Schizosaccharomyces pombe: one gene and its partners. Changing the gene in region 3 together with the main gene of any one other region gives a genetic interaction. Each region holds a gene or a part of one and is shown on either strand. Other genes may lie near its edges.

Region 1 (4,385 bases), 200 kb from region 3:
TCCAAACCCGGAGATTCCTTATTCTTTCGAAGCATCTTCTCCTTATAAGCACTCATTGATTTCGATTCTCGTTTCGGCAATGTTCGTGAAACGGCTGGAAATCCCCTAGCATGCCGCTGAACTGACCTCTTCACTTCAACAAGTTGCTTCGGCGGTTTTTCAACAATATCACCTATCACATTTGAGAATACACTCCTGTGATTCTCCATAGCGATTGAATTTTGAAAATATCTGCTTTTTGTATGTAGATGTTTCCTTTTTATAAGAATTTAAGGGTCAATTTCTTCAAACCTCACGAATAAAGCCCTCTGAGATAGTATTATGAGATTCTGATTAAATGAATAATAAATACTTCAACCTTATGAGTTTTTTCTCCCTTTCACTATTTACATACCATTTGGTAGATTGCAGGGATGGTTACGTTTTCTCTCATTTTCTTAGCTATTTTGCGCTCACAAAATAACGGTACATCTCACTATATATGATAACGTAACTGTAAAAATTGATTTATTGTATGGAAAAAAAACTAAATGTTTACATGATATGAAAAATGGATGGTTTTTTCCTTTTTTAATTCAATACTTTTCATTTAATATTAAAAGTGCATAATAAATAATTAATTCGTGAAAAAGTTTTCTAGTTATAAAAGAGAAATTATGAGAAAGATAGTATCCGAGTTTAATAGGACTTGGGCTATCCTTGAAGATTAAAGAAAGAAAGAAGTTATTAGAAGAAACGACATTCATCCAAAAAGAAAAAATAGAGAACAGAAAAATGAGTGGCGAGTAGAAGATTAGACAAGAAAAGAATGATAAACACTAAAAATATTTCGTCTCAGAGAAAATATCTTAATTCAAACATAAAAACGAAAAACGTCGCTTTAACCCTTTTTCATATGACACACCTAAAACCAAACGCAGATGAGATGCGACTAATTATTAGCTCAATGTAAACTTCTTGTCCGTTGCCTATCAGGCGAAGAGTTAGAAGATACAGATCGTCTTGAATTGAGCAGAGCCCCATAAATACATCAATTATTCCAATATACATAAATCTTGAATCAATGTTCAATTATAGCAATTAAGTTTGGAATCCGTGCTTTGAAAATAAAAATTGGATTAAACTTGAATCTAAGATTCATGTCGGAGACCAACGATTGTCGAATTTTGTAGATGGTAACCAAAAAAGAAAAGGCCATTGTTGAATTGTTGCAACATGAAAAAACAAAAAATAAAAAATATGAATTCCGATGATGAACAACAATGAAAAAAATAAGACACGCAAAATTAAAGAATTGGGGAGTGAAACTTTGGAAAAAGCATTAGAGAGTATGGTGGAGGGAGATAAAAAATCTTTGGAAGACTTCTTTTTTAAGTTTTCGAACTTCTTTAACAGATTTTTTTGACTTTCAAGTTCTGATGCCAGTAAAGAGAGACCAGCGGCAAATTGGGAATCGTTCAAAGTCTCCGTTTTAGGGATGTAAGGGATGTGAAAGAAAGGGCTGGGAAAAGTAATTTTTAGATTTTGATACGGAGGGTGATTTTGGAAGGGTTGAGGCGCCTTTTCCTTAAAAAATAGTCTCAACTGCTCGTTTTCCAACTGAAGATGTGCAACCTTTTCTTCTAAAATCATGTTTGACTCCATAAAAGCGCCTCTTTCTTTTTGTTCCGACAAAGATTCTTTCTTCATGTAATCTGTTTCCTATTAAACAAATTAGTAAACTGGCTTGTCTCTACCTCGAATAAGGCATATTCTTAAAAATCATACCGTTTTCCTTTCCTTTTCTACAGCATGGATTAGCTCTTCCATTCTCACAATATGGGCTTGCTGTTGCTCATACTCTTCATGAATGGTTTGTAATTGAGCTGCATACTCCTTAGAATCACGAAGAGCTTCACGAAATTTTTTCTCCCAGGTTTTCGCTTGGGTATAACAAGACTTGCAAGCTTCTTCCGAAGAATCCAATTCCTCCAATAATTTTGCATTTCGCGCGTTTAGTTCTTTAACTTGCTCGTCTTTAGAACGTAATTCTGCCGCTTGAAGCTCTATCCTTTCATAAAGCTGTTGAATTAAAGAATCATCAGCATTTTCCTTGTTTATATGAGAAAATCCTTTATTTGATCCATATTCATTTTTAGTTCGAAACATTGACAAAGGGGTTGAATGACTCAAAGGTGATCCTTTTCTTGGTGTTATGTAACTTGCGTCTTGATAAAACATATCTTTTCTCTTTATTCGATTTTCTGATATTTTTTGAGGCTTCGCTACACTTTTTCTTGGTAATACCCCATTCTCGCGCAAAGCTAATTTGTTTACAGGAAGGGTATCAGGGTCAAGACCAGTTAACTCATAAAACAAATTCTTAATTTCACTCGTAGACACTACAATCTCACTGTTATCTTTTATAAAATCTTGGGCCGATTGTCTTTGCTCATTATCAAGCAAAGGGGCCTCTGGATTAAGTCGCAATGCGTCAACATCGTCGACAATTTCTAAAAATGCTTGAATGGAAACCTGTCGAAAATTAGAAACTATTTTTCAAGTAATGAGAAATTACTTTTCCTGTATAATCTGGGTCGTATTGGCGCACAATATCGTCAAAAGGGATGTATTCATCCATTTTGATTGTTTATTGACATGTGCTTTGGTTAAACAGAATTAGTATAAAGGCAGGTTTGTTAACGATAACTTGTGCGATTTTCTTATTTTTGTAATGTAATGCAGAACAATACGTTATAGAAGTTGCCTTAAAAAAGTAAACAAAGTGCAAGTCAAAACATAAACAGGATATTTTAGCAAAATGTTGCAGTACGAAATGTATAAAATTGTTAGCAAAATCATCTTCAAAATAAATTATTTTTTACTGATTGAGTTAAAGTGGAAGGAAAGCTTTACACTTACCTTTTTTTAAAAAACAAACAAATAAATAAACAGATAAACAAATGTGATCCGTTTCTTGAATCTAGATTTACTTAATTGAAGTAAATAGACTACTTAACTTAGAAAATTTACTACAATCATAAACAAGTGAAATTCTGCTCTCCTTTATTTTACAACGATGCACAAAAAGTTAGTCAGCGTTCCGACTAATTGGCGGTAGTAGAAATAGTAATTATACAAATTCTTTAAAATTTTCTAAAAAGTATATTAGTATCAAATTTTTCTTTTGACTATTTCACTGATTATGTTAGGCTATGGATTAATAGCTATTGAACTCGGTTTTCTTTGCATGGAATAAGCAAACTCACATTAAAAGTTGGTAAGTCGTTTTTAAAAGAGATGAAAAAGCTTAACTGTGACGATTATATCTCCTACTTCTCTATTCAATTACTGACAGCTTACACATAACAATGATAATATGGAGGATCGTGTTGCTTCAATGGTGCAACGATATTTTATTTAGGAATTTCAGTAATCTAAAACATACTTAAAAATAAATAAATCTAAACTATAAGCTTATCGAATTCCCAATACTCGTTCACTAGTACACGGAGTCTTTGTCTACCTCTCCTTAACCAAACTGTTGAAAGCTGAGAAACCTGTGAAACTATTTCTAAAAATCATTCAAACTAGGACTTTTATTGAACTTATGCGGTGATTGAAGATCCCTATGCAAATTGTAGGCTATTTGTCTGCAGATTCGCAGAGTAATCCTGATTTAAAATCCGAAAATGAAGCAAAAGAAGAAAAGCCTATTGGGAGGAGACACACAATGTCACCAGTCCCTGCCACATCTGAAAATAAATATTTTGGCAAATCTCCTTTGTCAGGGTCTCGTAAACCTCGAAGAAGCCGATCACTTCATAAGGAACGTAGCTACATGAGGAAATTCTTTGATATGGATATGGAGGAAAGCAAAGACTTTGAAAATGATCAATCTTTACTAGTAACGCTTAAAGTATCGACTTCCTTGGGTCAAAAAATTGAGAATATATTACACCCAAAACTCAGCAATGATACCAACTCAACTGCCTTTCCGCCTGCTAAGTCGTCGGGAGAAGCATCAGATACTAATATTTTAGTTGAGAATATTAATTCACAGGAAACAGTTAATTCTTCCCCCCTTGTTTCCGAGTTACATTATTCAAACTTAGCAGATTCACCTAGTAATCTGCGAAATACTGTCACATCCATGCACCCGTTTTTCATGTCAAAGTCTGTGAAAAAGAATTCTGAAATCAAATTTGTAAGTGAAGAAAGAGGCGGTACTAAGCCAGAGAGGTTACTTGATCCATTATGGCCGACACCCGATTCCCAGAGTATGTTAGAGTATGCCGGCTCTATTGAGCCGAGTGTTTTCTGGTTTCCGAAAAAGCATTTAGAAGAAGCCATTTTAGAAGAGACCTCTCATCTTTCGTTTAAGGAGGTTCTTTCCTCCACCACCG
Region 2 (5,529 bases), 1.9 Mb from region 3:
ATTAACAAATTCAATAATTTTGATTTACGAAGGATGTCTTTCACGTTTGAAAGCATTATGTAAATTTATCGACTGCATTAAAAAATATAACAATTTGGTTGACTACACTGTATTTAATGATAGTGCAGTTTAATCATTGAGAAAGCCCGGTCAGTTTGTTTACCACTGTATAACTAACAGTTTAAAAGCCCTTAAAAAAAGACAACTTAATGAAACTAGATACTTAAATTACTAAAAGCTGTAAGGGAATTGAAGTTTCAACTGTCTTTGTGCTTCAATTGCAGTGTAAAAAGTTACGCTGTTTTAGCAAAGCACAAAAGACAAATTTTGCAATACTCAAAGCTATTTAACTATAAATTTTTTAAATTTTGAAAATGTTAATAAGTATATCTATTTGCATTTACGAAATTGCCTATTTTAAATCGGTAAAGACCAAAACCCTTTTTAGAAACGTATTAAAGATATGTTAGGAAGGCTGGCAAGTGATTCAATTGCATGACCAAGGCTGGATTAAGACAACACGTATTGCTAAAATACTTGTATCTAATTATGAAATTTCCACAATACTATCTGAACTAATAACGAGTATTGTTTACTTCTTGTTTGCTCCAACAACGAACTAGAAATACCGAAATAGGGGTCGTCAAGAAGTTTCTATTTTAATAATTATCAATAATGCACTTAAATACTTGGACCTAAATGAATAATAATATATATGAAGGCTGATATATGTATAACGATAAAGAACGAGCGGATGGCTGGATACTTATTTTCTCGTCAGCGTGACGCATTTTAAACATCGCTATAGTAGTCATCTAAAGTTATATATACATATTAAAAGTACACTTGCAACCAAATGTACTTTTTCAGAGATTTCTTTTGGCCAAACAAACTAATGCTCTAAATTGAGTAAACACGAAAAAGAATTGGATTTATAGTGCACCTTTCATTCTAGTACCGCAGTGTTACAGAATTATATCACGCAGTATGAAGAAGCGCACTACTCAAGCGAAAAAATCAGGGCAAAACACTAATATTCGCGACGTGTTTCCACATGTAGTTCGAAGTAATTCAAGTCAATCCCACATAGGGAAGAAAGTGAGTTCTGAACAGTCGCCTACACCCGATGTTACAATTACAACCAAAACCTTGGATGAGAGAATTAAAGAAGACGATGAGCTTTCAAAAGAGGTAGAAGAGGCTTGGAATCAAATTATGGCTGAAAGGATTAGTGAACCAATACATTGTGAAAATATAACCAAAGTAGAGTTCATTTTGCATCACTTTGACACTACGGCAAGATATGGACCATATCTTGGTATGACAAGGATGCAACGCTGGAAACGTGCAAAAAACTTCAATTTAAATCCTCCAGAAACAGTGGGAAAGATATTGATGCTCGAGGAAGCAGATGAGGAAAATCGAAAAAGAGAATCGCTCTTTTATGATCTTCAAACCATTCCAGGCTAGATTATTTTTATATCTTACATTTTGTAGGTCTTTAAGATGAATCTTGACCCGTATTCTCTGCAGTACTTTCGGCTTTCTCACCTAAAGAAGGTATTGGTTGTTCGTCTGCATTGGGTACAGTCCCATGAACTCGAACTTGATACAAGCATGTGTAATTGGGATTTCCCCAGTTGCTTTTTATTTTTAAGATCACATTCTGTATCGGTTCAGCGACAATATAATTGGAGGATTCAAACGAAAAAGTTTGAATAGAGTCTTCCGTTAAAGAATATCTCGCCTTTCCCAACAATACAAACATCTTGCTGGACATTCCCTGAACCCACAACTCAAAGTCCTTGGGAGCGCTAGAAAGATCATGAGCAATCTTGTGCTGAACGTGCTCTATTGTGACATTGGTTACATATACAGGGCGTGATAGGGAAATTCCTAATTGTCCCTCTGAACCTTGAAAGCTCCAACACATCGCAACTGCGTTGTTGGGAGTTAATGCTATGCTAGGTTCGTGTCCTCTAACAACGAGCGAATCAAAGAAATAGGAGGTAAATCGTGGTATGAATGCAGATGGTCGTCTCACATAGCGTTTTGAGGTTAAGGCAGGTAGTACTTCCGCTCCTGTTGAGAGCAATGCAAAATTCGGCATGGAAACCGGATCGGTCAAGTATTTTCGAACCGTAGATTCGATGAAGAACTTCCAATCGTCATTTAGTTCAACTTCAAATGGGACCGATGATTTGTAATTAGACATCTCCTCCTTTAGCGACTGTTTTAATTGCTCTACTTTTTGTTGTAAAATCTTGTCAAATTCCTTTTTTGTAATTAAATCTCCCGTCGAATAATCGAATTCCTCATTGCCGCCAACTTTAGAAGGTGAATCTGTGAAGTCTTTAATAATATCTGGCTTTAAACTTGTTTTGGTGTCATTGGATGCAGGAGGAATGTTTGGTACGGGCGAATTAGATGGTTGGGAATTATCTGATGAAAATGATCTTGAGTAAAATTCTTGACCCTTGTGAAGTAGAGTAATTATTAGGAGAGTCGAAAAGAGAGTGATACCGAACCAAAGTAATGGTTTAAATTTTGAGGAATAAAATTGAGATTTCCTTGTAGATCTTTGATTCATCGGGTACCTAAAACTGGCATTTGTTGCGGTGGTATCCTCGTTCAAGCTATACCCTTCATCATCACTTTCCTCGTCGATGCTGTTTTCGTATTCTTCATTGACAAACTCTTCATCATCTCCATCTGATTCATAGAATACATTCGTCGAAGCTTCGTGTCCATTTTTCACTACGTTTTCAAATTCTTCGTTATCAGATTCCTCTTGCTCGTATCGAATATTAGAGTGGTAAGCCTGTTCGAAATTGGGAGCTGGAAATCTTTGTTTAGGAGTAATTGATTCAATGGACACCCTGGTAGGAGGGGACCTTATCTTTGTATAGCGAAGTTTATGCATTTTGGAGGCCAAATCAGCCGTATTTTGATGAATCTGAGCAGAGTTCGCTCCTAACGTCGACCAAGCTGGATGAGCGCCATTTTGACGCTCTCTTTTCCCTCCAACCGGTGTATTAGTAAACATTGATGTATAAAAGGCTATTTGAAAATTAAAAGAAAAATATACAAACGAATCAGTGATAAATAAATATGTAAAAAGAGAGACAAAAATTGAAAAGAGAGTATTGGAAGGCGAGAATTTGAATTAGTGTTCGTATTCAAAAAAGTGAAGCTTAAGTAGGATTCTGTAATTGAATGCCTTTTTGATCGCTTTATGCGAATGTATAAATTATTAATAACAGACGAATTATCGTTGACGCCTTTTTTATGTGAAAACAGATACCTATACACACAATGTATGTAATTGATCCTACCCTAGCAGAGTATACCTTTCTTGAGGTATCATTCCAATTCCAATACTGGAAAATTCCTTCACAAACAATAAAGGATACAATACCAAGATAAACACACTAGAAATGGACGGTACGAAGATTGACTGCTGAGAAAGAGTTTTGTTGTGTTTACGGTAAGTGTATACACTAAGAATTTACTACGTTATATATCGCTGACAATCGATAAATATTCATAACATAATATATGGAAATAAAGCGAGAAATATTTGATGAATAAAAATGGTAGACTGTTAATACAAGAGGGTTTGAACGCTGATGAATTAAGTACTTGAAGCTGATAGGATCCAAATCCAGCAATTCGCGTGTTTATATAAAAAACAGGTTTGGTAATTTAGGAGTTTTCGTGAGAGCATGGCAAAACTGTTCAGTGAAGTGAGAAGTTTGATGGATTCAAGTAATAAAGCAGCCTTATAAAATAGCAAGTTCCATACCTATTAATATTTTTACCACTATTAATATTACTTCGTTTGCATTTAGATTTCCAATTTTTAAAGAAAAAGAACAAGAAACCGATCATATGCTACCAAATTTATTTGAAAAATCAAAAGTATTCAGTATCGTTTCACTTTTAATCAGTTAAGTAAACAGATTTGGCATTTTGCTGTAGTAGTAGTTCAACGACTTCAATTTCTAGGCATTGAAAAAACGTTTTTGCGTTTGTTAGGGATACATTTCATCGACACGAGAATCTACGCCAATGATTTTCAAAAGCAAATTTCAACAATGATCAATTGAGTAAATAAACATTTAATAAACCTTTAATAAACCTTTCTACTGTTTAATACAACATTGCCGCTGAATATTATACTTTATAGTTCGTCAAAGTAGGATTTTCGCTTTTCATCATATAGCCAATGAAATTCGGGCATTCAGTCGCTTTCAAATTGCTTGAATATTGTGCCGATTGCGAAGGTAGCAGCAATACGCAACCATAAATTGTCTAACTAACTGCTTGTTTTTGCATACTTAGGATCCCATTTTACTGCGACACTGATACGGTCCTGTCAAAAAAAAATGAAACGAAAAATTTTCATGTTTTGAGCTTATTCATCGCTTGGTTTCACTACATTCAACAGAAACTGCACAATGTTGTATATAAGGAATCAAAGACAAGCTATGCGTAACTTTGAAAACGTCAGTATTTCAACAAGGACGAAATTTATGGCACGTTTAACTTCCAATTAGCCCGTATTGTTTTTTTGGCTAGCGAAAGTAATGAATTGAGGCAATGTCGAGTAGTATTGCACAACCTAGTATTTGATCCTGTGCGCTACATAATGAATCCTAATAAATAAAACCTCAATAATCAATCTGCTCAACCAACCGTCAAAAAAGGTTCAATCATTTCAATTACTCAACGTGGCGCCAAGTATGTCTCATGATTGTGTATTCATCTCACGACTTCATTTCATTTCTGTACCTTATACACTCACTCAGCTACTTCAGGACTAGGTGTTGCGACACAAACGAGAAACCATGCGCTGGACATCATTCATGGGCCGAAACCGATGTTAGCTTATTGAGCAACCCTAAAATCCGGGAAAACTTGTGATCCATCAAAGTAGATAGAGCTGACAATGTGGAATAACTCATATGAAAATTCAGACATTGTTTGCCGTTTACGATATCTCTCGCTATGTGGAATTGATCCGTTCGGTAAGTAAAGCAGTGCAACGTGAATAGCAAATTATCACCTGTGGGTGGTGAGTAAATAAACAAACGCCTAAGAATGAAAAAAATTTTTGCAGGTGGTTCAAGTCAGGATGCTATAATGCAACATCTTGTGAATCAACGTCGCATATCGTAATGGCTACAGCAAGGAAATCCCGGAGGAGATAGTTTTATTAACCAACGTGTCGGACCGCAATATTAACGCCGAAGAGCAGTTGTATGAGTATGTTCCTAAACGGTAATAGTAAAATTACTTTATTCACCGATTTGTAACAAAGCACACTAGTTATGGTAGGTTCACGAGCCGCTATTAGGTTACAAGCTACTGTCAGGTTAGAGCCATTGTAAGGTTATAAGTTACAGTTGGGTTAGAGCTTGTTGTAAGGTTAAAACCAGTGAACCATAGTGTAGTAAGAGATGTTAATATGTTAGAGCCATTGCTAGTGTGTAGCTAAATTCGCCCTAGGCACGTTGCTCATGTAGA
Region 3 (2,644 bases):
GGTCGTAAATCTGATACTGCTCATCTTTATGACGAGAAATTGTCATCTATGGATGAGCTTGGTGGATTTGACCCTACATGGACCTCTGGTTTCATCCAAATCGAGTCTATGCGTTTGCGTAACTCTGATGAAGGAAAACATTGGATGTAAATGCCAGGTCGTTCTCAATAATAATGTCATACTCACCATGTACTTGAGCCAAGCAATAATCAAATTTCTGCTGTGCAAATAAGAAGTATTATTTGAGATGGCTTCCTTTTCATATTCACATTTCATAGAATTACTCCGTTCATATCACTGATAAGTCAATTGAATATTTTTGTTGCAAAAAAAAAATAAATTCTGAAAACTGTAACTAATTGAAATTGAAGTTTTATATTGCAAACGCAAATTGTTAAGATGTTTAATGTACTCAATACTATGCTTTTAATTTAAAAAATATTTTACAGGCCTTTAGCCATTCTTCGTATACAGTCCTAAAATCAAGAATAATGTCGAAACCATCTTGAATGATAAATGAAATGAGGAACAAAAAAGATGAAAAATATATTACTAAAATAAAATTTTTTAAAGCATATCCATAACACTTTGTACTCGGTAATCTGAAAAAACAAAGAAGATAACGCTGCTAGTCAATGTTCAAAAAGATCCGTTATTGATAAACCAGTAAGCAAAGAGACAACCGATTAGTAAGAAAAAAGAAATTACAGCAAGTGTTTTGAAGAGGGCAAGGGCAATACTGGTAGTCTTATTTACAATGACCAAAGAGAAGTATAACACTATAATCAAAGTCAAGATATTAATAGCTGAGGGCAAGCTCAATCCTAGATTTCCATTGAACAATGATTTTAGGAAAGACGTTTCATATTTTTCGAAACTTTTGCCTACATTTTCAACGGTTTGAAAGACTTGATCAGGATTGGTATTTAATCCATGGTCCACAGCAAGTTTGGCGACGAAATTCCATAAAACGGATGTCAAAGACATTTTCTAAAAAGTTAAAATATGAACGGGGAGTAATAGAGATGGGAGTAGTTAGGTGTGCTTTTTGACTGAATGTTGACGTTGTAGGCGAATTTTACCAACGATTACATTTGCTAATAAAATATGTTAAAATAAAAATTGGAAGATGAGTTGAAATAAACGGTTCTATAAACAAAACTCATTTAAAGAAAGAACTGGCAAACAGATTATGTCAACATATCTCATCTAATATCGAGACTACTGATAAAAAAATCTAATTTGCTAATGACTACAAGCTTTTATTGTTTACTCTTTGTTGCTTACAGTTCTAGTCAAAGGAGGTATTTTATTTTCGTATTTCGCTGTACATAGCATAATTTCATGAAATGCTTTTCTCTATAAATATGCTTTTATAAAGAACTAGTTAATAAAAAATTGCTTATTTCTAAGCTCTTTTAGGATTAGTAATATATAAAAAGGAAGATAAGTATTTTTATCCCTTTTTAACTGGATTGTTATTACTATAAAAGAAAGACTCTTACGGTTGATAATAAAAGCGTAGAGATCAGAAGATAAAAGTAGAATTCACCGCCTATATTTCCTTTGGAATAAATATCCAACAGTATACTTACTATTATAGAGAGAAAATTAATTTCCCTTTGCCCTTTATCATATAAAATGGTTCTTTTTATGCTGAGTGCCTAGCATAATTCCTTCCTTTTCGAAATATCAAAAGGCTTGTGAGACTTCAATTGGTAAATGCTTTAAAGTGAGTTATTACTAGCTCGCTTCAACCACTTCAGCTTGATTCTCCAATAACCGAGTTTTCAAAAGTACTCATTCTTGCAATTGCTATAAAATTTTTATCTTTATTTATACCATTACCATTGTAATATTGTTATAAGGCATCGCTTTACTTACTGAACATAAAAAAAATCTTCATCATAAAATTAATTAAATGTCAGAATAGAAAAAAGTGTTTAGAGGGTCCAACCGTACAAACAAACAACTTTTACGTTTTTAACATTTTCATTTCTTCAATAACCCCACAGTTGTTTTAAGCTATTACTTAAGCGAGGGCTGCACATGACAATGTGGCTAGTATACCCTTTATATACATTTTGAATATGCATATGAAACCCATTATATTAACGCTGGAATAGCGGGAATGCTTGTTTATTATATTAATTTATTCTATTGGAATGAATAAATCTTTTTTCTGGACATTTAAGAACGGCATGAAACAAGTAGCTCTAATAAATTAAATTGTTGGATCTTACTAAAGACTAAATATTAATAATAATTTTCTCCCAAGCTATTTATATACATATTAGAAGCAATTTGCAAAGATAGCAGACTAATACTCTTCAATGCCCAACTTCTTATTAGTGATATACATGTAAAAATATCTTTATTATGCAATATTATGTAGCAGCTCGTACAATGTTTGCACATCTTTACACAATAGTATTCATTTTGTATTACATTATCATTTATAATTCCATTTCACAGAGAGTAGGCATTGCTATTATATAATATAAATTTATATAAAACAAAAAGACTGCAAAATCATTTCCAACTGAAACTTCGTTCTTTAGTTCTATTAAATTATTAAGTATTGGAATATCAGATTTTTGTAAGTTCAGTAATAATAATATCATTATATTACACCGTTGTATTA

What was found.
Region 1: mutations in apq12 (region 3) and kms2 are lethal when combined (synthetic lethality), as found in Schizosaccharomyces pombe (one study listed by BioGRID).
Region 2: mutations in apq12 (region 3) and sad1 are lethal when combined (synthetic lethality), as found in Schizosaccharomyces pombe (one study listed by BioGRID).

The regions. Positions count from the first base shown.
Region 1 is NC_003423.3:646,370-650,754, forward strand, and holds kms2 (protein Kms2), read right to left. Parts: upstream 2,651-4,385; 5' UTR 2,621-2,650; coding exon 2,558-2,620; exon of another isoform or gene 2,515-2,557; coding exon 1,768-2,514; exon of another isoform or gene 1,702-1,767; coding exon 1,138-1,701; 3' UTR 567-1,137; downstream 1-566. Other genes in the region: rba50 (RNA polymerase II-associated protein), read right to left, coding at 1-209; DNA replication factor C complex subunit Elg1, read left to right, coding at 3,611-4,385.
Region 2 is NC_003423.3:2,301,699-2,307,227, reverse strand, and holds sad1 (protein Sad1), read right to left. Parts: upstream 3,463-5,529; 5' UTR 3,047-3,462; coding exon 1,502-3,046; 3' UTR 1,471-1,501; coding exon of another isoform or gene 988-1,470; 3' UTR 567-987; downstream 1-566. Other genes in the region: DNA polymerase delta subunit Cdm1, read left to right, coding at 988-1,470.
Region 3 is NC_003423.3:447,277-449,920, reverse strand, and holds apq12 (nuclear membrane organization protein Apq12), read right to left. Parts: upstream 988-2,644; coding exon 640-987; 3' UTR 523-639; downstream 1-522. Other genes in the region: arg12 (argininosuccinate synthase), read left to right, coding at 1-150. UniProt on the Schizosaccharomyces pombe protein: Involved in the regulation of lipid homeostasis in the endoplasmic reticulum, thereby impacting nuclear pore complex biogenesis and localization, and nucleocytoplasmic mRNA transport.